3 linked regions of the Drosophila melanogaster genome follow. The protein of the gene in region 3 purifies or fractionates together with the protein of the main gene of each other region. This does not show direct contact. Each region holds a gene or a part of one and is shown on either strand. Other genes may lie near its edges.

Region 1 (10,173 bases), about 21 Mb from region 3:
TCGAACGCCTAACAATAGCATACTTTTGGGCTAGCACTTACTTGGTTAAGAAAATAAAAATTCTTTCGCTGGCCTCTTGGCTTTATGCTCACTTTAAAGCAGTGACCAAAATTGCTGTGGAAATTCTTGGAGCGCTGAGGAATTTTTTCGCACGCCTGAAAAATGCCACAATCCGAAACGGAATGAACTTTGGGCCACAGTAAGGTGGCGAAAAAGTCCGGAGCCAGCCAAGCTTTGCGGAGAAAGCTTTGGCAAGTGAAAGTGTGCAGAGGTTGTTGCATTGTTTTGAAGATACAAAGAGAGCGGAGAGCGGAGAGCGAGTGCGCATGAGTGTATCTCACGGATACATTCTGATGCTGGCGGAAAAGCTCTGCCCAACGGTCAATTCTCAATTAACCTGTTGCGTGAGCAGCGCTCTCCGAGTTTCCCGCTCTCCACCAAACGGCAAAGGTAAGAAATAATCAATCTGCCCTCCTGGGCCCGCAAAATGTATCTGTATCTGTATCTGTGGGATATCCGTATCTGCAGAATGCTGCATATGCTGCACACCACATGTCCGGCTGAAAACTTTTCACTCTCCAGCAATCGGAAACTTTTCAGTCCAGCGAATCGAAAATGTATATGATACGCCTCAGTTTATTGACGTTGGCCGACCGTGCGCAACGTGTTCTTTTTCCATTGTTTTCATTTTCGGGGGGGCACTGTATAGTTTTGTTTATTTTCCATTCCGCGCTCGCATCGTGTGAAAGTGCAGCTTGGCTGGCTCGGATTTTTTTTTAACCCTCTCTAATAGTTGTAATTTGCACTAATTACGGCCGCAATGAACGATTTCGGGCAGTTCGTAAGTAGCGCAGGTTCTGGAATTCAGGAATCTCACGGTCTTAAGCTTCATTGATAATATAGAAATTATGCGAAATATGTATATGTGTGCATTGCGGATGCTCTATCTAAACGCAGAAAGTGGAACCAAGACGCAGCACACAAAGCTTCGTCCTTGACCTTGCACATCTCTCGGTTCTCCGGACGGGCGCACTTCGAAAGCTCCTGCATTGAAAGCGAAAGTTTGAAGGACCACTCGAGTGCCGCCCACCACCCGAGCCCATTAGACCCCCCCTTAATAATTCCATGCAAAGCCCATTTATGTTTGGTGACGAGGTTCCGTCGAGCCAACCCCAAGAACCAACCCTAATCTAATCTGCCCCCCGAAACGGTTCGATTTCCCTAATCACTTGATTTGGCTGTAGTTTGGACCTCCGTGGCTCGATTTGTTATAATCGTTTAAGCTATTTTAAGACCAGGCAACATGTTAAGCCTCGTAATCATATTAAGATAATTATTGTAAATACTTAAAGCAATATATTTAAAATTATGTACTATGTATCGATTATAGGCTAAGTCGCAAGGCCCAAAGTTGGTGCCATTCCTGGTTACTATTGTCCTATACTTCTCGCTGGTGAGGAAGGATCCTCAAGGAGAGCTATGGACCACCGTGCTCAAATGCCTGCCCATTTTCGCGCTTGTATTCTATGTGGTGGCCAAGGGAATCTCGCTCAAGAAGGAGTAAGCTTTATAGCATCGAAATACTATATACTACTTACTTATTAACAAGAAATTTTTAACAGATACCGTCGCTCACTTTGGATTCTATTGGGTCTGGTTTTCTCGAGTGGTGGTGATGCTCTGCTCAACATAAATCTCTTTCCCTTCGGAATGATCTCCTTTGGAGTGGCGCACGTGTTTTATATCAGCGCCTTTGGCTGGAAGCCCATAAAGTGGTTCATTGGACTGCTCTTGTACGTGGCCGTATCGCTTTGTAAGTTTACTGGTCATTATATACGTATACCTTACCTGGAATATTTGAAACCCCCAGTTGTTTACTTCGTGCACACGAAACTGGACGAGATTCTCATCATCGGAGTGCCCATCTACTGTTTCCTGATCACCACAATGCTGTGGAGATCGCTGGCCCGCGCCGTGGACTCCAGGAACTTCCTCGCCGTGTTCTGTGCCATCGGAGCCATTCTGTTTGTGATCTCCGACGCCCTGATCGCGGTCACCATGTTCGTGGGCGTGCCCCTGCCCTGCGCCCGCCTCCAGATCATGATCACCTACTACGCCGCCCAGTTTGCCATTGCGCTGAGCACCGCGGACGACGGTCCTGCCCTCCAGCGCTCCCTTCGCAAGAAAATTAAGTGAAGCCAGTGCCCAGTGCTCATCTGTCGGAGGCCCAGAGACAACATGAACGCAACCACCAAACTTAGTACTTCCAAAGCGTCTAGAGTATTGCCATTTACGTGTGTTGGTTTCCCCATCCCAGTAGCTTAGTGCAACCAAATATTTGTTCCCTTTCTGATGGATGTGGAAACGGATCTTAGTAGTTTACTAGATGTTTGTTGACTTCAAAGTAATAAATATATCAATAATAGGTTCTATTAACTATTTTATTAAAAACCATCTTTGTACATCATTAAAAACCCGCTCAGATCGTAACTTAAGATGGAGCACGAACTAGTCGCTGCTGCTGGAACTGAAGCTCTCTTCTGAGGTGGAATCCCGGCGAGCACGTCTTCCGCGTCCTCGCACAGTATTGTTCCTGTTGGCCGCCGGCTTGCGACCACCCTTCTTTGTCCTTGGCGCCGCTCTGGTTCTGTTGCCCTGACCTTCTGGAGTGCTTTCTTGATCACCCTGGGCAGCGGTATCCGGGTTGACTTGCAGGCACTCGTTCAGTCGGTTCTCGAACTCGGTGACTACAGCTTTGAGCTCCGGCTTGGCCAACTTGTTGGTGTTGCTAATGATGAGCTTGAAGGACTGATAAACCTCGTCCACCTGGACCTTGTCCCTGTAGTGCTGCATATTGTCCATTAGCTTCTTCACAGCTCGCTCGTTGTAGGTGAGCAGGCCGAGGCAGTAGGCGATGTCGCGCCATTGACGCTCCACCCGCGTTACCGGGAAGCGCAGACACAGCTTCTCCACTAGCGTCTCAATCTGGCGATCCTTCTGGATGAGACCCAGGATATAGGACATGATAATGCGGTACTTGTCCTCATCCAGGTTGAGGTTTATGTCCCCCAAACGGGAGATGATATCTGGCAGGACGTTGTACAGAATGTTCGACTTGTTGGCTATCTCCTTGAAGAACTGCTTGGTGATATTGCGAATCTCCTCGTTGCCGTCCACAATGCAAAGTGCCATGTCGGCGATTTGACCCTTGACGCGTATCATCTCGTTGAGGATCAGATGAGATAGCATTTTGACGGCAGTTAGCCTTAACTCGGTGTTCGATTCGTGCAGCTGAGCGTAGAAGTGCCCCGTCCACGGCTCGATGATGTTTGGGAAACGGAAAGTGAGATCCGACAGCCCCACCACCGTGTTGCACTTGATTCGAATGTTCTTCGTTAGGTTGAGGATGTTCATCAAAAAGCTCATGTTGGACTCGCAGAAACGGGAGGAGACGGTCATGAGCCGGGCCAGAGCCAAAGTAGCGGCCTGTTGCAACGTGGGATCACCAAACTCACCTGGACGCTTGCAAATCTCTATGATAAATGGCGCCAGCTTGGAGAGCAGAGCATCCGGGTTGTAAAGCAGCATGTCCTCGCAGATGCCGTGGATTTCCTCGGCGATGTTGTCCTCTGCAGTCGCTCCCACCAGATCGTCGTCTGGCTCCTGCTGTGGTTCCGCTGCCACTCCGGACAGCCTCTTGCGCACCTCCATCGCTGACATATTAAGCGTAAGTCTGGCCGCATTATGTGAACTTCCCGCCTGCTGATTGCGGTTTTTACGCTCTTCAAGAGCCGTCAGCTCGTCGCGATACTTCATGTTATTATAGATATCCATGTCGAGAAAGATCATCTCCTTGATGGTCATGTAGCCGATGCAAAAGATTAAGCGGGAGACGAGATACACGGGAATCAAGGTGCCTTGCATCTGCGATTGGCTATCAGCTTGAGTCTGAGTGGGAGTAAGGGTCTGCGAATGCGGAATCTCCAAGGGCTGCGAGTCCGGAACAGTTTCCGTATCCGCTTTGTCTGGAGAGGGAACTATTGCAGCCGCTTCCTTGACCAGCCAGCTCTCATTGAATTGCTTGAGTAAAGCCGTCACCAGTTGCTGCGCAATCACATCCGGCGCCTGGCACATCCTATAGAAGTATTCAAAAACACTCATGGCCAGTGCGTCGAAGTCGTATAGACTTCTGTGGAAAAAGAAGTCGAGGAAGAGCCGCGTGATCTTTCCCACGAATTCTGCATCGCTGTTCTGACGCTTATAATACTTGGCAGTGTTGTTTGCATCGATTGAGTTGACCAGCAGCTGCAGACAGGAGGTAAATATCCGTGGATCCCGACGCACCCGCTCTCCGACGGCGATATCCTCGATGATGGCAGTGTTGGCCGAAACAATACTAGACTTCGATTGCGAGGCCATTATCAGGAGCTGGAGCGACAGGCGAGATTCGTTGGATGTAGTGCCCTCCAGTTTTAGCGTGAAGCGCTCAAAGAGCACCTGGATGACAGCAGCATCGATGTCGCCACCCAACACCCACTCGGTCATCAGCGACTCCAAGGCCGTGTAGTGACCATACTCGATTTCCGAAAGAAACTTCGACAGGTTCTGCACCACCTTAATGGCATGAGCGCGACCCGTTTGGTCCGTGGAGAACAGAACGCGCTTGTAGGCATCCGACACTGCATCTCGTTTCTCCTTGTCCGAAGACCAGACCAGTTGCAGCATTCTCTGCATTCCCGACTCCGTGCCGTGAATTCCGAACATGTACCCGGTGGTGAACAAGTCCACCGCCTCAAAAACATCCGTGTTTGTCTTGGACATGAGCATCTCGTGCAGTTTGGGGAAGGCTGAAGTCATCAAGACGGCAAAGTCAATGCTGTCTTTTAGGAACTGCACCGTTTTGATTTGCTGCAGCATTTCCTCGCTCTAAATTAAAAGATTTGGTTAGAAGGGAATATAACTTTCTAAGATTAAACATACGCTCTGTTTAAATCCAGCAGCCAGCAGGTGATATGTCTTTAGCAAGGCCAGCACATACACGCAATGCTCCTCGTGCTTCAGTAAGGAACTGGAAAGTAAATATATTTATGGTAAAACAAAACCATCTTTGATTAGCAACATACCTCATATTCTGATTTCCCGCCAAAAAGTCTACCTTTCGCACTAGAACAATAACATCCTTGTAGTTCTTTTCGCGCATCAGCGGAATGATCCGCTCCATCAAGGTCTCGTCGCTCTCCTCCTTGTCGAACTGCATATCGGGAACTGTAATATAACAATAAACTTTAATATATACGTCGAACTAGCGGAACTGCATGAACTCACACTCCGTAAGGTTCTCCTCTATGAAAGGCAGCAGTTCGGGCGCCAAGCTGCTAAACTCGTCGTTGAGCTTCTCCTCCTGCTTGCGCTCTTCCTCGAGTACCTCATTAAGTTTCTCCATTGCCTGCACCTCGTGTTCATGCTTGGCACGGAGTTCATCTATGGAAAGCTTACTGCTGTATGGATTGCTTTCCAGGGCGGATTTGATCAGATGCATGGCGGCACGCCGCACCAGCGAGCTCTTGTCTTCCAACCTTCCGATGGCTTCCTCCAGCACTCTGGTCAGGAAGTTAAGCGGAATGGCGTGCTGGGTTTTCAGGTGATGCCAGATACTGAGCACCTTGGAGCGCACGTGTGCAGAAATGTCTAGGATGTGGGCCATTAGGTGCTCGAGGAACTCATTGCGTACTTCCTTCAGTTCTTCGCTAAGATCCTCCGAGGTCAGTTCGCTAACCACGGTGTCGCCGATGATCTGGAGCACACAATTTCGCAGCGTGTGAGACTGACAATCTAGTAAATCTTCCGCCAGCTTTTCCAGGTGCGGTACGATCAGCGAAGGTGCTATGTTCGAGAACTCGGCCAGGAAATTGGAGAAGTGTTTGGACACCGAAGAGTCAGAACTGTCCATCCTTAGAGCATCCACAATGCTCTTGATTAGAATGGAGAAGACCGAAGAAATTCCGTACTCCTCGTGCAGAAGCAAAATTCCAGCTGCTACTGAATGGGCTGCATGCTCGGTACCGCGTAGGATCTGCAGAATGCGCACCGGGAAGGTCATGGCCTGGTTAAAGCGCTTGATCGATGTGCCCAAGATCTGGAAGATCGTGTCGAATACGTGTTTGTTGTCCATGCGAAGCGGCAAAAGTTCGATTGTTCGATAGCAGGGGTCGCAGAGCAAACTGGGGAAGATGGATACATTGCAGATCGAAGAAATAGGATGCTAAATGCTTTGCTCTTACTTTATAAAGTCCTCCTCGGCTACGGGCGGACTCCAGAGCTTCTCCAGCGGGCACTGCAGCACGTTGAAGAGCTGCACCAAGAACTTGCCGCGCTTAACCTCCCAGTTGGGAAACTGCTCCAATCCCTCCGATGGCTTGGCACGCTTCTTCTGAACATTGAGCTGCTGATCCCGCATGGCCTGCTGGACACTGTTGTTGATCTTCTTGACGGTGCTCACCTGGAGGAACAGCGTCATTTTGGTCAGGTTGAGGTAACTATTGCGCTGCTGGTTAGACATGGGCTCACTGGCCGTCAGCAGGGGCTGCAAGTCTTGGAACAGTTTCTCCACGGTCAGGTAGAGCAGGTCAAAGGACCTCATTAGATTCTGTGCAGAGGCGCCATCTGAACCGCGGGCCTCGATGATCGAGTAATACAAGTCGAAGTGCTCGAATATATAAAAAGGATCGCCCAAGTGCACTTTGCGCTTGCATTCTGGGAAGGAAACATGAAGATTGCGCGTCCGAAAACTGTACTCAATTTAAAAACCAACCGCGAAAACGGAAACTTACCTTGTAGTTTCGCGGGAATCTCCTGGGCGCCAAAAATCTCCTTCACGTAATACTGATCTCCGCTGGAGTTGATCAGATCAGATGCATTCAGGGGAAGGACGAACTGGAAGTCGTGCGATTCCTCCATGGCGGTTATTACTCCTATTTACCGCGAAATAATAATTGTATCTTCTGAATTGAGTGGCGTCGCTTATAGAGATGGGCAGATTCGCCGCCAAATCGATCGCTTGATATCGGTTATCGGTTACTGCTGACTGCAAGCTTACAATGCTCATAATGAGAGGGTGTATTTATCAGATAGATACTTACCACAAAAACTAAATTTATATTGGTTTAACAGGGGTTTGTAAAATTTTTTACATTATTAAAAGTGTACCTGTTTAGGGAGTCCCCTTGATGCAAATATGCAATGTATCGATAGTGATATCGAAATACTCGCATCTCTTCTCCAGACGCCGTGCAAATTCGGAGTTTGATTTGTTTTAAGCAGTTTCTGTTTGAATTTATTGTTTTATTATCCACAAGTTGCTAGCAGAAAACTTGACAAAATGCGTCCCCCAGAGTTCAAGCTTAACAATCCGCCGGAGGACCTGATCTCCGCTGTGAAATTCGGCCCCAAATCGAATCAATACATGGCGGCGTCTTCTTGGGACGGAACACTTAGATTCTATGATGTGCCGGCAAACCAGCTGCGTCAGAAATTCGTGCAGGATGCCCCTCTTCTCGACTGTGCCTTCATGGTGAGACTCCTTCGTACACATTAACAATCCCCTATTCAACCAACGATCCGCAGGACATAGTGCACGTGGTCAGTGGCTCCCTGGACAACCAGCTGCGTCTCTTTGATGTCAACACCCAGGCGGAAAGCATAATTGGTGCCCACGAGGAGCCCATCAGATGCGTGGAGCACGCCGAGTATGTCAATGGCATCCTCACGGGTAGCTGGGACAATACCGTGAAGCTGTGGGACATGCGGGAGAAGCGCTGCGTTGGAACCTTCGAACAGAACAACGGAAAGGTGTACTCCATGTCCGTGATCGACGAAAAGATCGTGGTGGCCACCTCCGACCGCAAGGTGCTCATCTGGGACCTTCGCAAGATGGACAGCTACATCATGAAGCGGGAGTCCTCGCTCAAGTACCAGACCCGCTGCATTCGTCTATTCCCCAACAAAGAAGGCTACGTGATGTCCTCCATCGAGGGACGGGTGGCAGTGGAGTACCTGGATCACGATCCTGAGGTGCAGCGCCGCAAGTTCGCTTTCAAGTGCCACCGGAATAGGGAGCAGAATATCGAACAGATCTACCCCGTTAATGCCTTGAGTTTCCACAATGTCTATCAGACGTTCGCCACTGGCGGATCCGATGGCATTGTGAACATTTGGGATGGCTTCAACAAGAAGCGCCTTTGTCAGTTCCACGAATACGATACCTCCATATCCACGCTCAACTTCAGCTCCGATGGCAGCGCCCTGGCCATCGGCTGCTCCTACTTGGACCAACTGCCAGAGACGCCGGCTACAGTGCCACATCCGGCTATCTATATACGCTATCCCACGGACCAGGAAACTAAACAGAAATAATGTTATATATACTTGTTTACGGCAAAGTTTTACATCATTTTTTAAAGTAAGCTACTTAGTATACTCTTTCAATTTTATGCGCGCATCTCTGATGAAACCCCACATCAGTTTTCCCAGCACAAATAAAAGCTCTATAAAACTCATGACGGAGGCCCCTATATACAGACTTATGATCCCGCCAAAGTTGGCCAGTAAATCTATATTGGTGTACTTGAGTTTCGTAATGATTTTGGTCATGACACGTTGGCCATAATAAACCTGGGCTTTTATCAATTGATCTGTCGAGTTTTTTGGGCTAAAAGAGAGGGGAATTTAATTATCTGTTCTTTAAGAATATATACATTGAACTTACTAATCCAATTTGCGCACATTAAGTGACATTTCGTACAGCCGTGAATTGCAATTGTCTGGGCAATCACAAAAGTGACCCTGTCGTGAGTCGTTAATGTATTTCTCCTGATCACCCATCTTCACGTAAGTGAATATATCGGAATTGTTGCCCAAGCATTGTGCATCGTTGATTCCACATTCCGGAACTCCATCTAAAAAAAAAAAAAATTTAAAATGTAATAGAATAATTACGATAATTACCAATGGGAGGCAGAAAAGCTGGCAGCGAGCACTGGCAGGTCTTCCACACAACTAAGTGGAGGCACACCACCAGGCAGTTTTCGCGGTTATAAGTCAACGAAGTGTTCTGGAAGGTAGGGTTCTTTTCATCCTATGGAGTAAGGAATTATTATTATGATTATCTTTTCCTATTAGTTGCAAGCTATACACACATCAAAGTAGCAACGTCTTTTTTTGGGACTCATTTCATAGGTATTTGGAGAGGTTTCCGTGACCAGCGGATGCACAGCAACAAAGTTCTCCGTATCCGGGTACAGGTGGTACATCATTTCATTGGACCACTGGCGTGGTTCCTTAATCATGAGCTTAGTAACCAAAAAATAAAATTAAACAAAATATGAGCAAACTGTGACGCAACTAAGGGACTTACATTCATTCCAAATGGAGTCAGAGCGTCTATGTTGTTCATAAAGGAGTAGCTTGCATTGATCGTGAACTTCAGGCCCGAATCCTCGCCAGCGGTGCTCAGCTTGTGGGGATAGAACTGGTTAATCAGGTGCTTTTTGCGCGAGTTCTCCGAAATCATGGAGTTGAAGACCAAGCACTGGCCCTTCACCGTCTGCTCCCGTACGAAAAGTTTGCAGCAGTCGTAGGGAGTCTCATCGAAGACGCAGGAATCGGCGACGAAGAGTTCATCGCATCTATAGGTCATGAAGTTCATCAGGTCCGTCATTTTTAGATAACTAATTCCCGTCAGATTTCGTTTGGTCAGAATCCGTATCCGGTTAAAGTTGGAGAAGTTCATAATGTCCATACTGGCGAGTAGCTGGCGAAATGTTTCCCGGAGCTCGGCATTCGGATGACGTGGCAGAAAGCGGATAAATGCCGACGGAGCCCTCTGCCAGTTGAAATGATTCCAGGGGCAAACGGCCACAGCTGGAAAGTCGATGTGGTACACTGGCAACTGGGTGGTCTCTATCAGGCTGACCAGGAGCTGCTCGCTGTGGCGATGCATCAGCACGGTGTACAGACTGAATCCTGTGATCACCGCTCCCAGGACGATGGCGAGCCACAGGCAGCGCTGCCAGAGATGCTGCTCCCCGAAGACGTGCTGCATCCCATGGATGTTGGAGTGGGCAAAGGAGTTGCACAGTTTTTCCCGAAACTTAATACCACGCGGATTGTTCCTGA
Region 2 (11,059 bases), on a different chromosome or scaffold from region 3:
TGTAAAGTTGATTCATTTTTTTAAAAAGAAAATAAGTTGAAAGTAAAAATTGTCCCATTTTCTGGTTATTGGCATCGTATCTTTCTTTCGTGTGCGTTTCTTGATTTACGCTTTGAAATGTTGTCCTATTCGGCTTTCTCATTCTGGGTTATGTCCAATTTTTTTTTTTTTGCTTTTCCGCATATTTGTTGGCTTTTCTGTTCTGTCTATTCTATCTTTCGCCTTGTGTTTGTGTGCAACTTTGTTTTATGTGTTTGCCAATTTGTAACACTTGCATTCCATCTAAAAACTTACCGTTAAAAGTATAAGAACAAGCACAACAAAGAATTCATTCATTGTAGGTTTTCGTGAATAAAATTGAGAATACTGCATTAGATTTGTTTAGGTTTCGTTTCATTCCGTAATTCTTTCCGTCTCCACTTACCATTCGCTTTATGATCTTTTGTAACTCCTCGAATTACATCTTGCTCTTTCATGAACTTTTTCATTCTTTTTTGCCCCAAAATTTTCAAACTTACATCAAGTGTTTTTTTGGTTCTTTATTTTTATCAAATAAATGTTCTTGTTTTATGTTTAAACGAGTTGCTCAACATTTGTTGAATGGTTTCTTTGGGTCAAAATACAATACAATATTTCAAAAAATGTCGTATATTTTTTCATCTACGTTTTCCTCCATATTCATTTGCTCTATCATTTCTTTGCTTTGTGTGTTTGTTTCGCCGTCATAAAATTGATTTTACCATGTATGTACGAATATATATCTCATATAATTTACATAGTTTCTAGTTAATTGTAGGCAAACGATTTTACAGGGATCTTCAAATTAGCGTTTTCGGGAGTGGTTCTCTCATATGACTCGAAATGGATATTTTTGAAAGTTTCCCTCCAACTATAATCTACTTATTAAAGGTTTCTAATTTGCTCCAATAGTTAATCAATATTTTTTGTTTTTATTTCTTTAATAATGCTTAAATTAATATTGTTTTGTTTTTGTATTTCCGTGTGTGTGTGTAAGTTCAGTTAGGTATTTATAATTAAAAGTAGTATATATGATGCATAGTCCTCTGTTTAATTATTAAATTTAAATGTTTAATCATAGAATTTGCATCCAAGAAACACAGTTACAAAGGTTTTAACACTTACTATTCTTTCGGTTTTGGGTTTCTTTCACGATCCACTGATTTTTATATTTCTCCCTTTTGTTTTTCTTTATTTTAAATAAACGTTAACATAGTAAAAATAATAAAGCGTACATTTCGCTACGAAAAGTTGATTCGTAATTGAACAAAAAAATTTATGAGTAATGAAAATGCTTTTACTGTTCTCTCGATGAAAACAAACTATTGTAATAGTGTATTTTTCTTCTTTACAAAGAAGAATTTATCAGGCCGTGATGTTGAATATTATATATTTTATCTTTAGTTTATTTTATTCGCCTTGATCACTGGTTAGCGACTGTAATTTGTTTTTATAAGGTAGGATGATTTTTTGATTAGGTGAGTGGTAATAACATAAAAATAAACAACTTCACATCAGGTTTTGGTTGATGCAATAAAACAATTTCCATGACCGCCCCTGCCGTTTTAGAAAAAATCTCGAAACAAATCTCGTATTGTGAACAGCTACTAGATATAAAGTCCATAATGAGGATAACTTAGCCTGACACTGACTAGTTTACACGAGGTCACTTGCTTGATCGCGATTTTATCGTGTAAAATCTGATTTAGTTGGCCACGTATAAACTAAAATTGCTTTTCGTGTGTTCTCTTTTCATATATCTTTAAACATATGTATAATTTATTATCCGTTTTTTTTTACTTAGCTTGTTGGTTGGTATTTTTGTTGCTTTTGGCTTATAATGGCGGCTACAATTGTTTTCGTAATTTCCCCATTTTTCTTTTAGTTTTTAAAAAGTTTGTTGTCTGTGATATACGTAATTTATAAGTTTTCATTTTGGTAACTTGCTGCTTTCATTCACCATCGTCAGTAACCAAAACTGCAATTTGAGGAACCTACTCCTGCCCAAAACGATCGATTTAAGCCAGAGTGGGAAACTGACGCTCATCGTTGACCTTGGGAGCGGTGTTCTGTTGTCGCTCAAAACGCTTATTCGGCCCTGGACCGCTGTTCTGATTGTTGTTCTGGTTGTTTCCCGGACCGCGACGATCGATGGGTGGCCTTTGATTTTGAGCGGATGAACCGCCGCCCTCGTTATTATGCTGCTGGCCATCCCGTGGGCCACGGTTTCCACCCTCACGATTATCTCGGCCGCCCTCACGATTGCCGCCATCGCGGTTGCCACCCTCGCTGCGTGGTCCGCCTCCAAATCCACCGGGTCTGGGGCCTCCACGGCCACCGCGTCCACCGAAACCGCCAGGTCCGCCACGACGACCATCGTTGAAATTGAACTGAATGTCCAGGACGCGCTGTTGCCTGCCCACACGCTGTGGATAAAGGGCAGGGTCGTACTCGAGCTCCTCTTCGCTGTCGTTCTCCTTCTTCTTGTTGCTAGTTAGGACGACCATTTTCTTCCATTGTGTGGTGTCCTCACCTGCGGGAAATATTGATTGTAGATTAATTTCTAGATGATAGGCCATCATTTAGAGTTAAGCTAAGATCGGTTTGATTTTCAATTTTATACTTCTTTTATACGGATTTTAGCTCAATATGATTTGTAACTTTGGTTGTTGGCTTGGCGAAAAGGTTTCTTAGAATAACGGAAGTTAAACTATCATTCCGTGGTATCGAATTCAAATTATTAACCATAAAAAAATTATGCATTGTTCACGCACCTTCTCCAGCCTTGCGGATATTAAAGGTTGGCTTGATGCGCTGTCCTTGCTGTGCCTTCCACTCGTCCAAGGTCAGCTCTTTGGCTTCCTCCTCGGCGGTAGCCTGCTCGTTTTGTGGTTCAGTGCCAGATTCATCGGCCTTGGCGCCGCCCTCGGCATTGGTCACATTGGTTTCGCTTTCGTTCTTGTTCACATCATCAATAGCCTCCTTGACCGATCCCCAGTTGTGGGAGCCAGCTCCATCGCGTTTGTCAATTGACTTCACACCTGTGCATAAAGAAAGTATCAAATATTAATAATGATTTATGTCTGCTTAAATTCAGAAACGTCAAGAAGCGGAAAATCTGAGCTTCTATATTTGCAAATTTTAGCCACAGCTATAGTGCAACTTGCCTGCAAGCCCTAAAGTAAGTTTTTCTGCTTAATTTATTAACTGAATACTTTAATTATTAGCCAAATAATGGTCTATTTTATCAATACCCCACTAATTAGGTCAATTGAGAAGTAACCACGATAGGGGGACTATATTCACTGCCCTCGCTCGCATAGTCACAGATAAGCCGACAGTAGCAGCCCCAGTTCACTGTAATCAGATTCAGTGGGGGAACTATTCCAACCCCTGTTTCCCCCCAATGATTATGCCTGCAAAGGCCTCCTACAAGCACTTGCGTTAGACGGGAATGCCGCCAAGAAGATGGGCGAACTATTTTTAACACATTTTCTCTTTCGATTTGTGCCGCAGTGCTTCTTGTTTCTGTTGCTGCCGGCCGCTGTGATATTATAATTTTGGATATTCCAAAAACGAAGCGGTCGGTCTAAGCAGGCAGTGGAAAACGGGGGAAAACGCGGCGAAATAGATTTCATTCAATGGAAAGAAGTGTGATGTAGCTTGTTGAATGTTCTGTCCGACCATTAGTATTGATTTGACTCACTTATCCCCCACGTGAGTGGGAGATTTGCCTGTGTTGTTTGACCATTGCCCATAAGTTCATCGGGATTTTGTGTGCCACAAATTGGTTTACACCGTTCTCCCGCACTTTTCGTGAAATTGCTTGGCATAAACAATATATATTTAAACTGATTTATAATGCAACTGTTTAAATATTACTATCCATTAAATAAGATTGGCAATCTGCTCGGAGCAGGCTAATAAATATTTTATACTTTGAAATACATTAAATTCATGATTTAGATTAGCTATAGAAATCTTAAATCAATTGATGGAAATTTCACATAGTTTATTAAAAGGAATCGCATTTCAAACACCGAACGAATTCCAGTTTCTTTTAAATATTTGTTGTGTACACAGAAGATTGGAATCATGTTGCTTGAAGGCGACTAATAATTTCTCATGACTATAAACATGGTAATTGGTTACGCGTAAACTGTGGATGGAATTTGTTTTTCCTGCGTTGCCTGCTGAGTTTTATTTTCTGGTTGTCATGGAGTGTGGCTTTTGGTTTATTTGTTAATTTTTTCGTATGGGCGCGCTCGTTTTATGGTTATGTCTACCCCTTGGTGGTTCAACTTTAGTTTCGATCTTATCAACAGAAACATTAACTATTCATATGCGAAAAAATGGTCATTAATCTAAACGATTTACTCCCTAAATATCCCATCTTCTCTATCCTTTTTACTAAGTATACTTCTCTGTAAAGACTTTAATGTGATCTACACTGTATCTACTTGACTTGACCCCTAACCCATTTGGTACCTTAATGCCTTAATGAAATGACCACACACTCACCAGTTCTATCGGAACCCGACTGGCGGTCGAACTCGCGCTTCCTGTTCTGGCCATCGTAGTTGCGGTTCTGACGCTGGGGACGATCTCCGCCAGCACCTGGGCCTCCACCTGGTCCGCGGTAAGGTCGCGACTGCTGGCCATCGGGTGCTCCGACGTTTTCGCGGACATTGCGGCGATTGTTGCGCTGCTCACGAGTCTCGGCATTGCCATTCTGTTGACGGAAGTTTACGCTGCGCTGCTGCTGGCCACCTTGTCCTTGACCCTGTCCTTGACCGCTACCAAATTCACGTGTTCGGTTGGCGCCACCTCCTTGCCGTGGAGCACCCTGTTGTTTGTAATTGCTGCTGGCGTTATTATTGAACTGCTGCTGTTTGTTGTCGGCCGATGGAGTGAACTTCTTGCCATCGGTTTTGTTTAACGCATTATTGGGCTTGTTCTCCTTTTCGGCCTGATTTGGTTTCTTGGCATTGGGTCCACCAATATTGGATCCTGCGTTCGCCTTGTTATTGCTGTTGGCCACCTTGTTGGCGGTCGTTTTGGTGGCCGCTGCAGCAGCAGCTGACGGTTGCTTCTTCTTGCCAGCTGCTGCTGCGGCAGCAGCGGCCGTCGGCGCCACAAGATTATCTAATGGATCGCTGACATCGTCGTCCATGAACAAAAGTTCATAACGATTTTTACCGGCGCTGTCCATGATTTTGTGGGTGGGTGTGTTTTTCGTTGCTAGCTGGCTGCCGCTTTAATTGCCTTTTTGCTCTGTAAAAAGAAATAAATACACACAGTTTTAGTGGGAATTGATTGATTTTCCTTTTTCGCCCGCCGCCTCTCACACCCTGTGAGATTCGATAGGATTTCTTTTTCGTGTCACAAACTATGGTCTAATATGGCATATATTCGCTGGATTTATGGTTTACGACATTAACACGTGGACTAACGTGAATTTACTCAATTTATTTAGGCCCTTTGGGTGGATTTTTCTTACTTTTCTGCTGGCTGTTTGGTGGCTGCTGCTCTCTAACCTTAATTTTCAGTGTTTCTTCTTCGCCTCGCTGCTAGTATTACCTACACACACTGCCTCACGCGATTCCACACGCACATGGGCCAAATCACGCACACCACAGTCAGCACGAACAGAGCGCCCACATGTGTTCTTGGTATACATAGAAAAACAGAAACTCACGTTTTTCAACGCGTTTCGCGGCGAATGTCGCAAATCGATTCGAATGGCAGCTGTGTTTAGCGGGCTCTCGATTTGGCGGGCACTTTTTAGTTTGAAGTGCAAGCCAATTTCATTAGTTGGAGAATATGTGAAAAATTGAGCAAATTATATAAATTGGTACAAAATGTTGGAGCATATATTATAAGAATTCATAATTCAATACTTTAGAAATGAACGTATTAAGTTATTGCTTTTATACTTATATAGAATTAATTTTTTTTTCTTTCAGCCAAATTAAAAAAAAAATATCAATATGTCTGACGACTGGGATGATGAGGTTCGTATTGCTTCGTACAAAGAATATATGCTTACTAAGCCTATCTATTTTAGCCCATTGTTGATACTCGCGGCGCCCGCGGTGGAGATTGGAGCGATGATGAGGACACGGCCAAGAGCTTCAGCGGCGAAGCTGAAGGCGATGGTGTTGGAGGGAGCGGTGGTGAAGGCGGCGGCTACCAAGGAGGAAATCGAGATGTGTTCGGAAGGATCGGCGGAGGCAGAGGAGGAGGAGCTGGAGGTTATCGAGGAGGAAATCGAGATGGAGGGGGCTTCCACGGTGGACGTCGCGAGGGAGAAAGGGACTTCCGCGGTGGAGAAGGCGGCTTCCGCGGTGGACAAGGCGGCTCCCGCGGTGGACAAGGCGGCTCCCGCGGGGGACAAGGCGGCTTCCGTGGTGGAGAAGGCGGCTTCCGCGGTCGGCTGTACGAAAACGAGGATGGTGAGTAAACCTTTTGGACGACATGTTAAATTTTGGGTTATGGTCATTTGAGTCATTCCTGCTGAATTCCATGTGGTGTGCTTTGTTTTGTCAAGTAGTTTGTTTTCTTTTGTTTTGTGTATGCATATTTGCCCAATTGGTGGCAAATTGGCCAACATTCTAGCTAAGGAACTGCCGCCGATCCCATCTAGCTGCGATAAGGATGAGGTGGGCGCATTCATCGATCAGCTGGACTTGAGCAAGTACACGACCAGCCTAGCACTGATTCGAAAATTGCGTGACTACTTGCTGACTGCATTTAAGGCTTTGGTGAACCAAGCATGGGCTTCTCTCGAGAAATTAGCTCAAGAAAAGCGTGCACAAAAGGCACATCAGATACGCGAAACAACAGATATGATGAATCGCCTTATGGAGGACATGGGCCGATTGATTCGTGAAGGTGAACATGAGGAAGCAAATGGGATTGGGATGGGATTTCAAAGCATTGATGCGGATTGCAGAGCTGATTTGTCGCAATGGAGGAATTTACAGCAAGTTGTGATGCCGCAATCTTCGGAGATCAGAGATGGACAAACAAACAGGACAAGCGGTACTGAGGGCGGTCGATCAGGAGGTTTAACCGATGGCGATGACTTAACCGAAATACAAAGCGCCGCATACGCCGTGTATCATCAGGTTTTGGATCGAGGTTACCAAACGGGTCGACGGCTGTATGATGATAATCAAGGAGCATTGAGAGAAGATTCTATTCCAACAGAAGACCGAGAACACCCAGAAAATAATCAAGTGGATGGATCAACATATGGAGTGACTAGATTTCTGCACTGGCTAAGTGAGAACTTTGTCACTCGGCATGAAATAAGGGCCGTACGTTTTGGCAGTCCGCATATGGTTTTTCAATCTTATGACTGGCCAGAGTCTCCAAAGCAGCACATTTCGACGGTCCATCAAAAAGGCATATTTTATTCTCAGCCCTTAATTAGGACACGCATAATAGCCACTGTTGCGAGCGAGCCAAACAATTCGAGTAGTGGTCAGCTCAGCAGTATGGTAAACTTGGCACGACATCAGCGGTCGCAAAATCAGGAAACGCCAGATGGAATTTACGTTAGTCGCTACAATGCAACTGGAGATGAGGAGACTCCCTGCTCCGCAACCGGAGTCCCCGGCAGAGTTGTGGCTCTGCGTGCTTCGAGCACCCCAAATGAACATAGGAGCGATCCAGGGTACTTAAACCAACTCTAACTAGTCTAGTCTAGCGCTTTTCTTTCTTACCATCTATGGATACTTTTTATTCCCTTTTTCCAATGAGCGGTTGTGTAGAAAAGAGCAGATTTCAAACATTTAAAGATTACATAAAAGAAAAAAAAAAACACCAAATTTAGCCAGACACCGAAACAATTTATAGGAAATTTGATTAGAGAAGTACCTTAATGCAGTATAAATTCAGCTTACTTTTCTATATGTACATATTTTCCATCTCTTCGCTTACTTTCGTTTCCTTCTCTATAACTTAAATGAACACATAAGCTAAGTAATGTCCGTTTCACAGCTTGTCTTTTATACCCAATTTGACTTACGAAGATGGGACCATACCATCATTGGCAGCAGGCGGCGCTGCATCGACACCGTTGGCTCCATCACTGCCAGCAGAGCATTCATTGGGGTTAGAAATGGATAGCAACACTTTGGTGGTACCAGCTGATGCGGATGAAACCCGCTTAGTCGGACATCCAGGATCAACAGTGGTTCGTTCTCGGCTTGGAGGCCCTCCAGCATCAACACCTTTACTATCATTCCGACCTAGACTGCCGGTCATTGACGAAGAGCATCATCTACGCTTTACCAGGGTGTCACGCGAGCTGCAAATGAGTGTTGCTTTCCCGCCGGAAGAGACAACACTAAGCGAGCAACGTGAGTGGGGCTCGATTTTCCGACCACGTGATGAAATGGTTAACTATGCCGAAGGTCCACCTCCTCGCCAAACACAAAGGGCGCGTCGTCGCTCGCGTACACGCAGACGACGTAATCGTATCGCTTCAGCTGCCAGCCCGCAACTAACACCGGAACGAATTGTCCGTCGCGAGGAAGCCTTCCAAAGCAGCCGACATATTGCAGCCACTTTTATGTCCAGCTTGCTACAAAATGCAGCTGGAGAAGTGACGACGTCTTCAGGTCTGGCAGTAACCCGTTCAGTGAAAGAAATAACGACATCAGTCCATATCACCCGAAATGTACTACAAGAGGAGGTACCACCGACCACAGAAGCAACGACGACCTCCCTAGAAGTTGCACAGGCAACAGGGTATTCGGATTCTGGGGCTTGTATGCAATCTGCAGCGTTCTCTCAAGATCTTCCTGTAGTAGCTCCCTTGGAGATATCTGGAAATGCATCAAGTGACCAAGCATCATTTGATCAAGCTTTGGCCTTACTGCCTCCCATAAATTCCACTCCAATAGGTCAGCATCCAATTGCTGTTTTCGGACCTAAAACCGAAATTGAAATTAAACCCCAAAAAATGGACATCTCTAATATGATGAATACATCGGTTCCACCAATGCCAATGGAAGTCGACGAAGTTCCACTGGAGGTATCAAACACTTTGGCCAATATGAGCGATCACGCTTATGTGACTGATATACAGATACTACCGTCGTTGCAACTCAATTCTTTGAATCTTGTTAGCACCAATATTACAGACAATGCAGTAAATATCGCCCCATCGACATCAACAAATGATTTGCAAACGCCAAGTGACCGCAGAACATCAATGCAAAATCAACTATATCGAGTGTCCATGAACGATTTGGCATATATTTCACAACACGCTAATGTGGTTCGTCTGATGGTAGATCGTCAAGAGGAACTAGGGGCACAGGTCAGCTCCCTGGGGCCTTTTAAGGAAAATAGCCAAGGCGCGCTAAATTTTAGTACAATGCCCGCTGTCAAAGTCTACGATCCACGTATAATTCAGAACATTCAGAAGGATAAGATGAGAGTAGTTCATGGGCTCTTCGGTGCTCTTATCAGACAGTCCCAGGTTGATATGCACAATGCACCATTCATCCGAAATCGCAAGGATGCGTTGATGGCATATCGCTTTTTACTCGAGCTTAAGACTGCAAATATTATAAGTCTTAGCTCGGATGGTAGATTTTTCGGGCTGCTCTAATCAAATAAAAAGCATTTTAATTTTAAAAATACAAAAAAAATTTAATATTAGTTTGCTTAAATAATTTAATAAAGTTGAACGTGGTATTAGAATCATCGCCATTTCTTATTATTCGTTGACATTAAATTGTTATATTGTCCGTGATTAGCTAATAAATTGGTACAGAAACAGTATTAAAATAAAATACACAATTTAAAAATGAATTTTAGTTTTGGTTATGAATTTTTATGAACTGTATTTCGTCTGCTTAAATTTAAGTGAATAAAATTGTTATGAAAATCAAATATTTTCTAGGTGATGAACGTCGTGGAAGACTAGATCGGGAGGAACGCGGCGGTGAACGTCGTGGAAGACTAGATCGGGAGGAACGCGGCGGTGAACGTGGTGAAAGAGGGGACGGTGGTTTTGCGAGGCGCCGTCGAAATGAAGATGATATAAATAATAATAATAATATCGTCGAAGATGTCGAAAGGAAGCGAGAGTTTTATATTCCTCCCGAGCCGTCCAACGATGCAATTGAGATATTCAGCAGTGGCATAGCTTCCGGGATTCATTTTTCGAAATACAACAACATACCGGTTAAGGTAACAAAATGCAATTTATATTAAAAGATCTTCAATCGGTATAAATCATATTTCTTTAGGTGACCGGCAGCGATGTTCCACAACCTATACAACATTTTACGAGCGCTGATTTGAGAGATATTATTATAGACAATGTAAACAAATCTGGATACAAAATACCGACACCAATTCAAAAGTGTTCCATACCAGTAATATCCTCTGGTCGAGACCTAATGGCGTGTGCCCAGACGGGTTCTGGAAAAACGGCAGCTTTTTTGTTGCCCATTTTGAGCAAGTTGTTGGAGGATCCCCATGAACTGGAGCTTGGAAGACCCCAGGTAGTGATTGTATCCCCAACAAGGGAGCTGGCAATTCAGATCTTTAACGAGGCGAGGAAGTTTGCTTTCGAGTCATATCTAAAGATCGGTATTGTTTACGGAGGCACCTCGTTCAGACATCAAAACGAGTGCATTACCAGAGGCTGCCATGTAGTGATCGCCACTCCGGGACGACTTCTGGATTTCGTGGATCGGACCTTTATCACGTTTGAAGACACTCGATTCGTTGTGCTGGATGAGGCCGATCGCATGCTAGATATGGGTTTCTCAGAAGACATGCGAAGAATCATGACGCATGTAACTATGCGTCCAGAACATCAGACATTGATGTTTTCCGCCACGTTTCCAGAAGAAATCCAAAGAATGGCCGGCGAATTCCTTAAAAATTACGTTTTCGTCGCCATTGGCATTGTAGGCGGAGCTTGCTCTGATGTGAAGCAGACCATATACGAAGTTAATAAGTACGCCAAGCGATCCAAGCTAATAGTAAGTGGTCCTACAAATTAAAGCCC
Region 3 (11,380 bases):
AAAACATCAGAGCAAACTAATCAACTTGCCCTATCTAATCTAATTAGCAAACGGGTAGGCATCGCCACGATCGTCACATCCTCGGCACTATTTGATGCATTTCCTACTTACATTCTCGCTCCCCACGTTTCGAACATTCAATTATACTGATTGCTTAAATGTGCATAATTGAAGCTTTGCCGCTGGGAAACCGGCGACAAAGCTCTCATCTGAGAAGCTCCTAAAGGTTACTAACCTATCCTATGGATATTCCACTCCTTAATTATTTTGATAATATGGCCAGCAGCTCGTCGCGGTTGAAAATCCAATGATCTCTTACATCGAAACGTATTGGTTCGAAAAGCGTACTGAACTAAAACCAAAGAACAGGCAACTTGCCAATTCTTATCAATGGAGCTAACTCAAAAAGTGATATCAGTAAGTAAATAAATCTTAATTGAACATATTTATGAAAAGATAATAGGGCGCCAAGGAATTAGTAAACGTTGGTGCTTTACAGCGTTATCGGACACGATCTGCCAATCCCAAAAAAATCACCTGTTACACCAAATGCAGAAAAAATTAAAAACAACCATGCGAGTTCTTTTTCTCATTTGCTAAATTATTAAGCTTTAGTTTAGCAAACTTGTTTTTTTTTTGTTTTAATTACTTGTTTGTGTTGGTTTCTTGTTTCATATAGTACATTCTATCTCGATCTATATATTTAATAATATATATACCATTACTATTTTTATGTTTTCTTCGTTTAAAATCATCAATTGAAGTTCAAGGATTTGCGCTTTCATCGTTTCGATCCGACATTGACAATATTTATGTCTAGATATATATATATATATATATAAGAATACATATATATATATATATATATATGTATATTAAGAGTTCCAAGAAAAATGATGTGTGAGAATTGTAACTTATGGACAAAAATTCAAAAATTTTATCATTTGCTTAAATATTCTTAATATTTGTGGTTGTTTAGCATATTTTAAATATGTATGTGTTTGCTTGCATATCCTTCAACTACGCGCATCGAATTCATAAAATATAATGATGGGTGAGATGGAAATGGAGGGCGGCTTGGGCTGGCTATACATGAATGTAATATACTTTCGCGATGGACTTGCACAGTTTATTATTAACGCTTGCTCCTGGTTTTTGAGGTTGTGAGAGAGGAGTGAATTGCTAAACGAGGGTGGGGTGGAGGGTGCATCTGTGTATCTTTTCTGTATTTTCGTGATTTGTGTTGCGCTGCGCACAGACAGTTTCTCTTTCACATTTGCTGTTCCTATATAGTATACGTGTGTACACATATATAGTTGTTATCGACTTTGTTTTACTCCGTTTGGTTATTTGCGAAAGTGGCTACGATGCGACTGCTGATGCTGCTGCTGCTGCTGGCCCAGGTCCTTTGCCTGAAGCTGAGGCCTTGCTCATTGAGCCCACCAGTCGGGTGCGTTCGAAGAGTGCGAGGCACTGCCGCCGCCGTAGGAGCCGCCATAGGAGCCACCACCGGCGCCGCCGCCATAGTATCCACCGCCGCCCGAATTGCCGCCTGTAAAGGAAATCCACTGTTAAGTTTCTGCCTTTAAACTGATTACTGCTGATGGATGATTCCACACTCACCAAACTTACCGTACGAGTTTCCATTGCTGCGGTAACTGCCGCCGCCGCCTCCTGATCCGGAACCACCGCTACGTGGTGGCGGTCCACTGCGTCCGCCACCGCCGCCGCCAGAGCTTTGACGGTAATCCCTGGAGCCGAAGCCGCCACCATAACGTCCACCACCGCCTCGTCCAGCCCGCTTGGCTCCGCCATGTCCGCGATCCGAACTCATATCCTCCATGAAACTGGGGATCTCCTGCTTCGTTTCGATCAGCAGCTCCAAGAGATCGGAGCAAATGTTGCGGTTCTTTTCGTTGAAAAAGGAGGTGGCCACACCAAGATTACCCATACGTCCGGTACGCCCGATACGGTGGACATACTCCTCCACATCCGAGGGCAGGTCAAAGTTAATAACGTGCTTAACGTGCGGAATGTCCAGGCCACGAGCGGCCACGGCTGTGGCCACCAGGATGGGGCAGTCGCCCGATCGGAAGCAGCGCAGTGCCTCCTCGCGCTCCTTCTGCGTGCGATCACCGTGGATGCTAGTGACGGGATGATTGCACTGGTACAGGAACTCCTCCAGCGAGTCTGCACCCTTCTTAGTCTCCACAAAGATCAGTGTTAGGCTGTCTTTGGTGTATTCGGGGCCATCGCGGATAGACGAGAGCAGATCCAGCAGATACGAGCGCTTGTCGGGTTCATAGACCCACAGGATTGTCTGCGTAATGTTCTCAGATGTGGAGCCCACACGACCAACGGCCAAGAAAATGTAGTTGCTGAGGAAATCGCTGGCTAACTCCTGGATCTGCTTGGGGAATGTGGCCGAGAACATAAGCGTCTGGCGCTGTCCGGTTGGCGGCATGTTTAGCTGTTCGACGATGCGACGGATCTGCGGCTCGAAACCCATGTCCAACATACGATCAGCCTCATCCAGTACAAGGAATCGAATGTTCTCCAGTCCCACCTTTCCGCGTGTGATCATGTCCTCTAGGCGACCGGGTGTGGCCACAATCAGATGGCAACCGCGGTCCAGCTCGCGCATCTGCTCGCTAGTATTGTTTCCGCCGTACAGCACTGCCGGGCGCATCCGGGAGCGATAGGCGAACTTCTTGGCCTCCTCAAAGATCTGGGTGGCCAGTTCGCGGGTCGGCGCCAGCACCAGACCCAACGGATACTGCTTGCGCCGGCTGTACTGCCGGGTGCTTTGCGGCGGGGGCACATGTCCCAGCTCGTACATCTGGTTGAGAATCGGCACCAGGAAGGCGGCCGTCTTGCCGGATCCAGTCTGGGCGCAGGCCATTAGATCCCGGCCATTGATAATGATCGGAATGGCGTGCTTCTGCACCGGTGTCGGTTTGTCATAACGTGCTAAGGCCACGTTGTTGCGGATAATCTCCGTCAGCTGCACATCATCGAACGATGTGATGTTCGGGGGCACATTCTGGCCCGTCGCCTCCACGGGTATATCCTCGTATTTGTCAAAATTGATTCCCGTATTGCCCACGCCGAACAGCTCCACCTCCAGGCGCTCATCTCGGGCGCCCAGCTTTGTGTAGTCGACGTTTGAGCCGCCGCCCTCCTTCCAGCGGCTGTTGTAACCGCCGCCTCCGCGCTCGCCGCGATTGTTGTAGCTTCTGTTGCCGCCGGCAGACTGTCCGCCCTCGCTGCCATCGAATCCGGCAGGACGTTCTGGCTCCTGCCAACGATCGTTGCGCGGCTGCTGCTGCTGCTGTGCCTGGCCATCCTCGGCAGTCTGCTCGTTGAGGTTGCTACCGCTTCCGCCGCCACCGCCGCGGTACGATGGTCCGCGTCCAAATCCTCGACCTCCTCCGCCGCCTCCGCCGCTGCGATTCCAGTCACCGCCGCGACGCGAATCGAATTCACCACCTGCAAAAGTAATTACATTTTCTCTAATAATATGGGCATATTAGAGGACCAAGTATAAGTCGTACGCATTACGATTTTAAGGATCATTACATTATGGAGCTGTAAAAATTAATTAAATGTCCTTGTGCTTCTTGATAGTGAATAGACCACCTGTTAGCCAATAGTACCCACCGTTGTAGTTGTCCTCGAAACGTCCACCGCCTCCACGTCGTCCTCCGCCGCCGCTTCCGTAACCGTAGTCGCCGCTCTGGCGATTGAAGCCGCGACCACCACCGCCGCCGCCTCTGCGGTATTCGCCTCCGCCTCCGCGCGACTGTTGAGGGTCCCTAGTCTCCTGGCGCGGATTCCCGGATCTGGAGTCGAAGCCCTGACCCTGGCCCTGTCCTTGGCCCTGGCTCTCTGCGTCCGCTGCGTTGTTATTGCCACCACCACCACGAAGGTGCGGGGGCACATACACACCACCGGTGACCGAGTTAGTGGAAGTCTTGCTGGTTATGGGGCCGCTGTAGTCAGCAGAGCCGCCATTCAAGTCCAGACCAGCAACCTGCAAGTGATAAAGATTAAATGGTTAGTCTTCTTCAGAACTTGTGCAAAAAATGTGGCATCAAATGTGGTTTCCTAACACTTAAATTATAGGTTTTGTTCTATTTTTTTTGTACTTAATCATTGGTTTAAGATTACTTTTCTTTGTTATATACCAAGTTTACGGGAACACAGTGCATTTAATGATAAGATCTATACCAGCAATGCAAAACTAAGCTACACAAATAATCTTTGCTCCACTAATACAATTGATTTATAGTACACATGGCCAATTAACATATGTTGCCTGTAAGTTAGCCGGCACCAGTTCAAGAATCAAGTTCAACAGTTTGGCAAAAGATTCGCCGGGGAAATTTTCTCCAGAACTGCCAAAATGAATTCGTTCCCGCTTAGCAACATGTGCTATTTACCGCTCTTCCTCTTAGCAACGCAACGTGTATATATACATAGATACATATGTATGTACGTGCAAATCTCCGGAATACACAGATAGAGAGAGGCGCAACTAGTTTAAAGCTTCGAATTTAGTGCTCTCCCTGTAAGCGTCTCTCTCGCACTCGCAGGCAAGCTATTACACAAAGAGAGTCCGCCTGGTAACCCAACAAAAACAACACGTGAACGAGCCACCCACACATGGGAAAACAAATCGCACCGTAGGGGCAAAACACAAAGCCCGGTTGCGGGACCCAAGTGGACAGAATGGTGATGAAAGCAAGGGAACTCTTTCAAGAACTAGTTTAAATGTATACAATGATTATTATTCCCGTATATCTTGTAATATTCAATATTTTGCCTTCTTCATTTATATTAATTAACAAAGGCAGCTAAATATGTAATTCGCAGATTTTGTGGGGCGTCACTTAACGGCTAGATCGTTGCTAGATTCATTGCGTGCATTTGAGGCATACAGAAATAGTAGTATTTAACTAAACTATTTCCATTTGAAAGCATTAACGTTTGTTTATTTCACATCTCTAATAAAGTTTAATTCTTTTTAAGGACCTAACAAAGGCTTGTTAAAATAGTGTATGTAGATTACATGCTTTGCTTTTCTTCCATTTTTTTTTGCCAAATCACCCTTGAAATTAATCACCAGATCGCTTACTCCTGGCAACCCTATTTACAACAGCTTCCACATGTGTGAGCAAGCGAGAGAGAGCGAGATATAACACACACACACGACCAGCCTTAGAACAGCGGCACTGCTCGCACACACGACACACTCAACGTGAGAGGCCGAATGGAAACTTTCATATGTATATATTATACATGTCAAATTGGAGGCAAGCGAGCAAAAATTATACAAAAGAAATTACAAATTGGAATGACGAAGAGGGACCCAGGCGCACACACACACGCACATATATGCAAGCCATTGACACCGACACAATTCACCGTTGTAAAACGAGCGATAGAGACATTAGTGTGTTATGAAATCAATAAATTTCTAGGCGAACTTTTTCAAATAGCCGCATGAGCATCACGAACACACACACACAGCCACCGCATACACATGCGTGTTCCATTCTTATATAGATGGTAAATGGTATTTTCAGCAGTTAAAAACGCTACTTACTTGCTGCTCTAGACCTGTGCCATTTTGGTTAATAGCATTACTCATATTATCCTCCAATCAGTTGCTTTTTTTTTCTTGCTTTCCGTTTAGGAAAATTTTGCAATGGTTACGCTTTGAATTTTTTTTTTTGAATGCACACTTGCAATTTGCGACAAAAAAATGTATACGATCGTTGTGTTGGTGTTGCACTTTGTGTCTATACGTTTTTCCTTAGTTTTTCCGACAAAAAACTTCTTACGTTCCACAAGCTACTGCGTTCTCGTGTGAAATTTCAGGGTTCTTTTCGTTCCTCGCACACAATTCCCTTTGTTCGGCTTGAAACTGAGACGTTTCCGTATCGGATTTGGCTGGCCTGCTTGTGCCAACAATTACAATTACAAGCGCTATGGGCTTGGAAAATGCTGCTTCTCCGACGAGTTCACGTTTTTTTCCGCTTTCAGACGCGTGTCTAAAAAATCAGGGCTGCTTTAGCACGTATATCGATGAGGAATCGATAGATGCGGTCGGTGGAGGTAGAGCAGAGACTCCAACCTGGGCTCTCGGCGGCGGTTACTGGCAAAGACTCCGGCAAGGGCGTTGCCAGATCTATATCCTCGTCTCGCGGTCTATGAAATTCAAATTGAATTTTTTCACTTTTGCTTTTTCGGCGCGTCGATCCCTTCTAGGCTGTTGTTGTTTTTTGAATGGAAGAGAAATGAGGCTGGGCAGTTAAATTTTGTTTCTTAAAGGCCAAAAATGTTTGTGTTTATGTTTAGGAATAGTTGTTTATAAGGCGTCAGCCGCTGTACCCCATTTCGTTATTTGAAGCAAAAGTCAAAGAAATTCAAATTAAATTTGAAATTTAGTATATATATGTGATTGCCGTAAAATAGGTATTAAAAATTTCCAAACAATTCCATACTCAAGTTCCCTCCAAGTCTGTTAAAGAAAACTAAAATTCGAAGTTTCGAACTCTGGAATATATTCATTCACTTTCGTCTTCAGAATATACATATTGTGAATGTACATGTTTATATAGAATAAATGCTTTTGGTATTGGCCTTAGCTTGAGATTAGTTAGTGGAACAATAAATATGGCTATAAAGTATCGTATATATGTATATAATAATAATTTTCATATCGTTCAGCCCTTGAGCAGGCAGCGGGAGTAGAACTCCCGGTCGATAGCGTCGTTTGGAATGTATGAGCTCCACTTGAAGATCAGCGCCAGCGTGTCCCCGGCGGACATGTGATCCAGAGCGATGTTGAGGAAACAGTTCCAGTTGTAGAAGAAGTGGCGTCCCAACTGTTCCTGTTCCACGCCAGATATGCACTCGCAGTTGGCGCACACCAGTCGTCCGCCGCGTTGCAGTTCCACGAACTGTTCGAAGCAGCGGCCCCATGCGCTCACGCTCAGTTGTTTGCCCACGTCAGCCAGAAGTTCGGGGAGTCCGTAGTTGAGGACGATGGCCACCACTTTGGTGAGATTCTGTTCGGCTAGGTAAAATTTAGCTAAGACGTCTAATAGTGCCGGCACTGATTGAACAACATCAAAGCACTTCAGTTGCTCGCCACGGGACCAGAAGTATCGCAGGAGCACTGCTCCAAGCTCATGATACTGGCAGGAGGTATCGAAGCGAAGGGGGAACGAGCAATGCTCACACTTGACAATCTCCGCATTTTGCGAAGTATTTAGCAGCACAAATCCGGCAGCTATGTGATCCCGCGTAGCGTCGTCCACTTCCCAGATCATCTCCGGATCCAGGTAATCGAAATACATCTCGTAGCAATTGCGTTGCGCTTGGTCAGGCGTATCCCCATGCTCTACCATCACCTGGGCTAGTTTCTCGAGCAGATTCACCAGCTCGCCAGCTGCATACTCGTCGAAGACAGCGCGATAACGATCGACGCACTGCGTCCGGCTAAACTTGGCGCTCTTGGCGATCAGGTAGAGGTTGTAAAGAGTCTTCTCCTCGGGACTGATGTGGGGAACCTGGGGAGCCGGTTTCTTACAGCGCCTAACAATTTCCTCCTCCTGATCCTCGCTTCCCGACTCGTAGCGTGCTTTGATGTCCTTGAACGGCAGAGAACGCTCGCTGGCTGGAATTAGTTCCCTGACCAACTGCTGCTGTTCCTCGGCAAAAATATTGAACTTGTATTTTATGATGTTCTTGCCGAATTTACCAGTTACCGTCAGCAGCGCATCCTTGAAGTGTCCCGTTTTGAGAGGCTGCTTCAAGTTGTCGCAGAATGCGTTTTCCAGCACGTACACTCCCTTCGGCGGAGCTCTCGATGAACTTCCGCCGCTCAAACTGCGTTCAGTGGTGGCTGAACTGCCTCCCGAGCTGTGCGTATCCAAAGCACTGCCTGTGCACTGAGTTATGGCATCAAATATCACGGATATATCGTTCAACAGCTCGTACTCCTGCCGCTCGATGAGTAGTTGTTTCAGCGGATTGAGCTGTTTAAGTTCGTAATCCTCGCGAGCCTTGTCCGCAAAATATCGGACATGCTGGCGTAGTAGATTTGCGCAAGGCAGCAATTTGGATTGTTGTATAAGAGAAACTGCGTGGGATTGCAGCGTCTGCAGCTGGACACTATAAAGTGCGCCAGACTGCGTAAACACAAAGATCTCCGATCCCGAGGAGCGGCAGTCGGCGATTCTCTCGAACTGATTGGACCACAGCACCACCGCCGATCGTCGAATATCAAATATATATAGTCCCAGCTCTGTAAAGGCCAGCAGAAAGTCATCGTTCAACCTTTGTACCTTTGCGAACTGCAGATTCTGCGGCTGATAGTCCAGCAGCTCGGCATTGGCGTCCAGTTCGTCTGTTCCGCTACCAGGTCGCTGAATCCTTGCCGGTGCGGTGGCTAGGGCCGTCTTGAACTGGTGCGTCTGTATCACCTCGCCCTCAAAGTCCACCTCCCACACGCGACTGCCTGGTCGGGCGCAGTAGATACGAGATGGCTGCAAAGACTCCTGCGGCGAGACGAAAAAGCAGGCGCCAAAGGCTCCATCCCGCGGACGGTTACCAATCTGAAAAATATGACATGAGGTAAAAGTTTATCGATTGTATGTGATCAGATTGGCTTAGCCACCAGCGCACAAACGCACTTGTTTGTAATCCTCGTACTCAGTGTTGCACAGAATGCACTTGGTGCAATTGGACACCAGCAGCAGGTACTCAAAATCATCAATTTGGACGATCGGAGAGTCCAGGTAGAGCAGCGGATGCACTGTCATGTTGAACAGCAGACTGTGTCCGATGAACGAGGAGAGCAGCACGAGGCTGACTTGTCCGCGAGAGTCGCCATAGTAGAACTGCTTCTCGTCCTGCGTCCAGTGGATGCATGTAACCTGCACCGACTGGTCCAGGTGCGTAAAGATCACCTGCGGCGTGGCCTGCGCGGACAAATTCACGGCATAAACACAGATGAGCGAACGTTGCGTTGCAAAAGCCACATATTTGCTATTTGCCGATATGCTGAGGCTGGTGATCGCTCCATGCTTGTTTGGTATCAAGAGCAGAAACTTGCCGTTCCGATTGAACAGATACAGCGATCCGGATGAGGCACCGAAAATGATATAGCTGTCGGAGATGTCGAAGCAGGTGTACTGAAGGGAGGAAGGGCGTGCATTAGTGAATGGTCTGCTATCAAATTGCGGGTGAGACTCAATTGGATTGACTTGCTCTCACCTTGATGCGATTGTGGTGTTTCAGCGGCAGCGACAGCGACAGCGAAAAATCAATAAAGTTCGTCAGGCAGTAGGCGTCGGCCATCTTGTGGGCTTTTTCGTTGTCCGAAGCGTTCGTTAATCACATAGCTCGCTTTGAAATCGCGATTACGTTATTGCATTGCACATCGCATGCATTTATTTACAAAAATTATGTTTTTATCAGCGCGACGAGTAATTCGTGTACATAGGTCGTTGGAACTGTCTGGCAGCTCTGTTAGTGCTGGCAGGTGGTCGATAACAAGTGGAGTGTGATTAGAGCGATTACTTTTTATTTCAAATACTTTGTAATAAACTTGTTAGTGTCTTAATTAAAACAATTCAAATCTTCAATTTGAAATGTATATTAAAATCAAAAGTTTCATGAAATCACAGACGTTAAAGTATCGATACATTTAGTGCTGTAAAATGACAGCTGGCTTGTTTACCCTTATAAGCTTCAAGTCTGGCAATACTGCGACCAGCAGCTGTCGTAAAACTTATCCTTCAAACTTTCAATTAAAATACGTTTTTCTGAAAAAATCGCTTATCAAACTCCCATACATAAAAATAAAACTATTATTACACAATGTTTACTAAAAAAAATTGGATATTTACCACCCAGCCGAACAGCTGTTCGCTGCTACCTCCCCCAACCCATAAACCTACTGTCAAGTAAACGTCAAAACAGTCGCGCGACTCGCCAAGCGAAAAAACCTGCAGAAAAATTGAAATGCGGCGTGAAAGATACTAGAAAAATAACAAATAAACACCGGGTATCCGCAATTAAAACGCTTATGTACATAGAAGCCAAAGTGTAGCAATGGGCGACAAGGAGGAGCCCGTAACACCCGCTCCCTCGCCCACGGAGGAGGGTATGGCCAATATTGGGTCTGCTGGAGCCGGGGATCAGCCGCAAACTTCAGGGAATAATACCAACGTTAAGATCGTGATCATTGGAGCTGGAATGGCTGGCCTATCGGCTGCAAATCACCTTTTGCAAAACGGCTGTGACGATTTCCTTATTCTGGAGGCACGGGGCCGGGTGGGCGGACGCATTGTGTCCATACCGCTCAGCAATAATCAGAAGGTACCATTTGTTATATAACCCCCTCAAGTCCAAAAACCAAAACAAACCATCATAGGCGACCATATGGTATTAAAGGAAAAACACTTCCGACTCGGAAAAACCACGAGCATGTTGTAACACATTCTTCGCCCCAGCCAGTTGATTATAGATTTTTCCACGGACTGCGCAGTCGGTCAGCTGTTCACGCTTTTCATTAAAGCTATTTTTATACATGTTCCTGTTCCCTCTATTTGCCTATTGTTAGCTTTATTTGTTACATATGCTTACATGGGGGTAATTAATGTAATTGCATCTGTCGTGAATCTTACTCACGATTTTCATTCCGTTCATTAGCATAGTTTTGATCGGTTTGGCGGCACCTTATCAAGAAATTTGTTATACAACTTTCTTCGGCAACGTTTGTCAGATTAGATAGGGGTTTTCTGAATTAAGCCAATGATGACGTATCTAGTGCAATGCCCTGAAAAACTCACGGGTTTGCGGGCTAACGATCACGTAGTCTTAGTTATGGGACTGAAAAATTTATTATTTTTCCAGTTTTCCACATTGTTTCACTTCACATGTACTAATTACGCCCCTAAATTATCTAATATAGGTCAGTTCTTATCTTTTTTATACTAGAAAGTTAAATGTTAAGCTTTGCCTACTTATCTGAGATGTTCCTATTTAAACACTTCTATTTCACAGATAGAACTTGGCGCCAACTGGATACACGGCGTTCTGGGCAATCCCATCTTTGAGCTGGCCGTACAACATGGTCTAGTCAGCGTGGTCAACGTACCGAAACCGCACAAGGTGGTGGCCACCACGGAGGACGGGCACCAGGTGCCTTTTAACATACTTCAGGAGATCTACGAGGCGTACGTCTGCTTTCTGAGGCGGTGCGATGAGTATTTCCTGTGTCAGTACAGCCCGCCGCCGGATATACACAGCGTGGGAGAGCACATTAACTATGAGATCGAAATCTATCTGAGCGGGGTCCAGG

Evidence for each region.
Region 1: the proteins of bel (region 3) and Cap-D2 purify together in Drosophila melanogaster (affinity purification with western blotting, with the first as the bait; one study listed by BioGRID). This does not show direct contact.
Region 2: the proteins of bel (region 3) and vig purify together in Drosophila melanogaster (affinity purification with western blotting, with the first as the bait; one study listed by BioGRID). This does not show direct contact.

The regions. Positions count from the first base shown.
Region 1 is NT_033777.3:29,672,514-29,682,686, reverse strand, and holds Cap-D2 (CAP-D2 condensin subunit), read right to left. Parts: upstream 7,037-10,173; 5' UTR 6,958-7,036; coding exon 6,831-6,957; intron 6,754-6,830; coding exon 6,282-6,753; intron 6,222-6,281; coding exon 5,326-6,221; intron 5,266-5,325; coding exon 5,124-5,265; intron 5,069-5,123; coding exon 4,981-5,068; intron 4,927-4,980; coding exon 2,509-4,926; 3' UTR 2,430-2,508; downstream 1-2,429. Other genes in the region: CG7582 (uncharacterized protein), read left to right, coding at 821-841, 1,391-1,560, 1,623-2,196; Bub3, read left to right, coding at 7,379-7,570, 7,624-8,412; ppk19 (pickpocket 19), read right to left, coding at 8,464-8,707, 8,765-8,954, 9,004-9,133, 9,195-9,347, 9,413-10,173.
Region 2 is NT_033779.5:15,062,398-15,073,456, forward strand, and holds vig (vasa intronic gene), read right to left. Parts: upstream 7,920-11,059; 5' UTR 7,749-7,919; intron 7,700-7,748; coding exon of another isoform or gene 6,637-7,699; intron 6,474-6,636; coding exon of another isoform or gene 6,086-6,473; intron 6,033-6,085; coding exon of another isoform or gene 6,009-6,032; exon of another isoform or gene 5,985-6,008; intron 5,682-5,984; exon of another isoform or gene 5,519-5,681; intron 5,293-5,518; 5' UTR 5,231-5,292; coding exon 4,540-5,230; intron 3,060-4,539; coding exon 2,793-3,059; intron 2,552-2,792; coding exon 2,037-2,551; 3' UTR 534-2,036; downstream 1-533. Other genes in the region: solo (sisters on the loose), read left to right, coding at 6,009-6,032, 6,086-6,473, 6,637-7,699, 8,026-9,646; vas (vasa), read left to right, coding at 6,009-6,032, 6,086-6,473, 9,941-10,230, 10,290-11,033.
Region 3 is NT_033777.3:8,654,355-8,665,734, forward strand, and holds bel (belle), read right to left. Parts: upstream 6,408-11,380; 5' UTR 5,654-6,407; coding exon 5,609-5,653; intron 4,034-5,608; coding exon 3,661-4,033; intron 3,490-3,660; coding exon 1,624-3,489; intron 1,553-1,623; coding exon 1,431-1,552; 3' UTR 621-1,430; downstream 1-620. Other genes in the region: p (pink), read right to left, coding at 6,732-8,627, 8,706-9,206, 9,289-9,372; CG8032 (uncharacterized protein), read left to right, coding at 10,129-10,395, 11,083-11,380. UniProt on the Drosophila melanogaster protein: ATP-dependent RNA helicase that is essential and required for cellular function, larval growth, and for male and female fertility.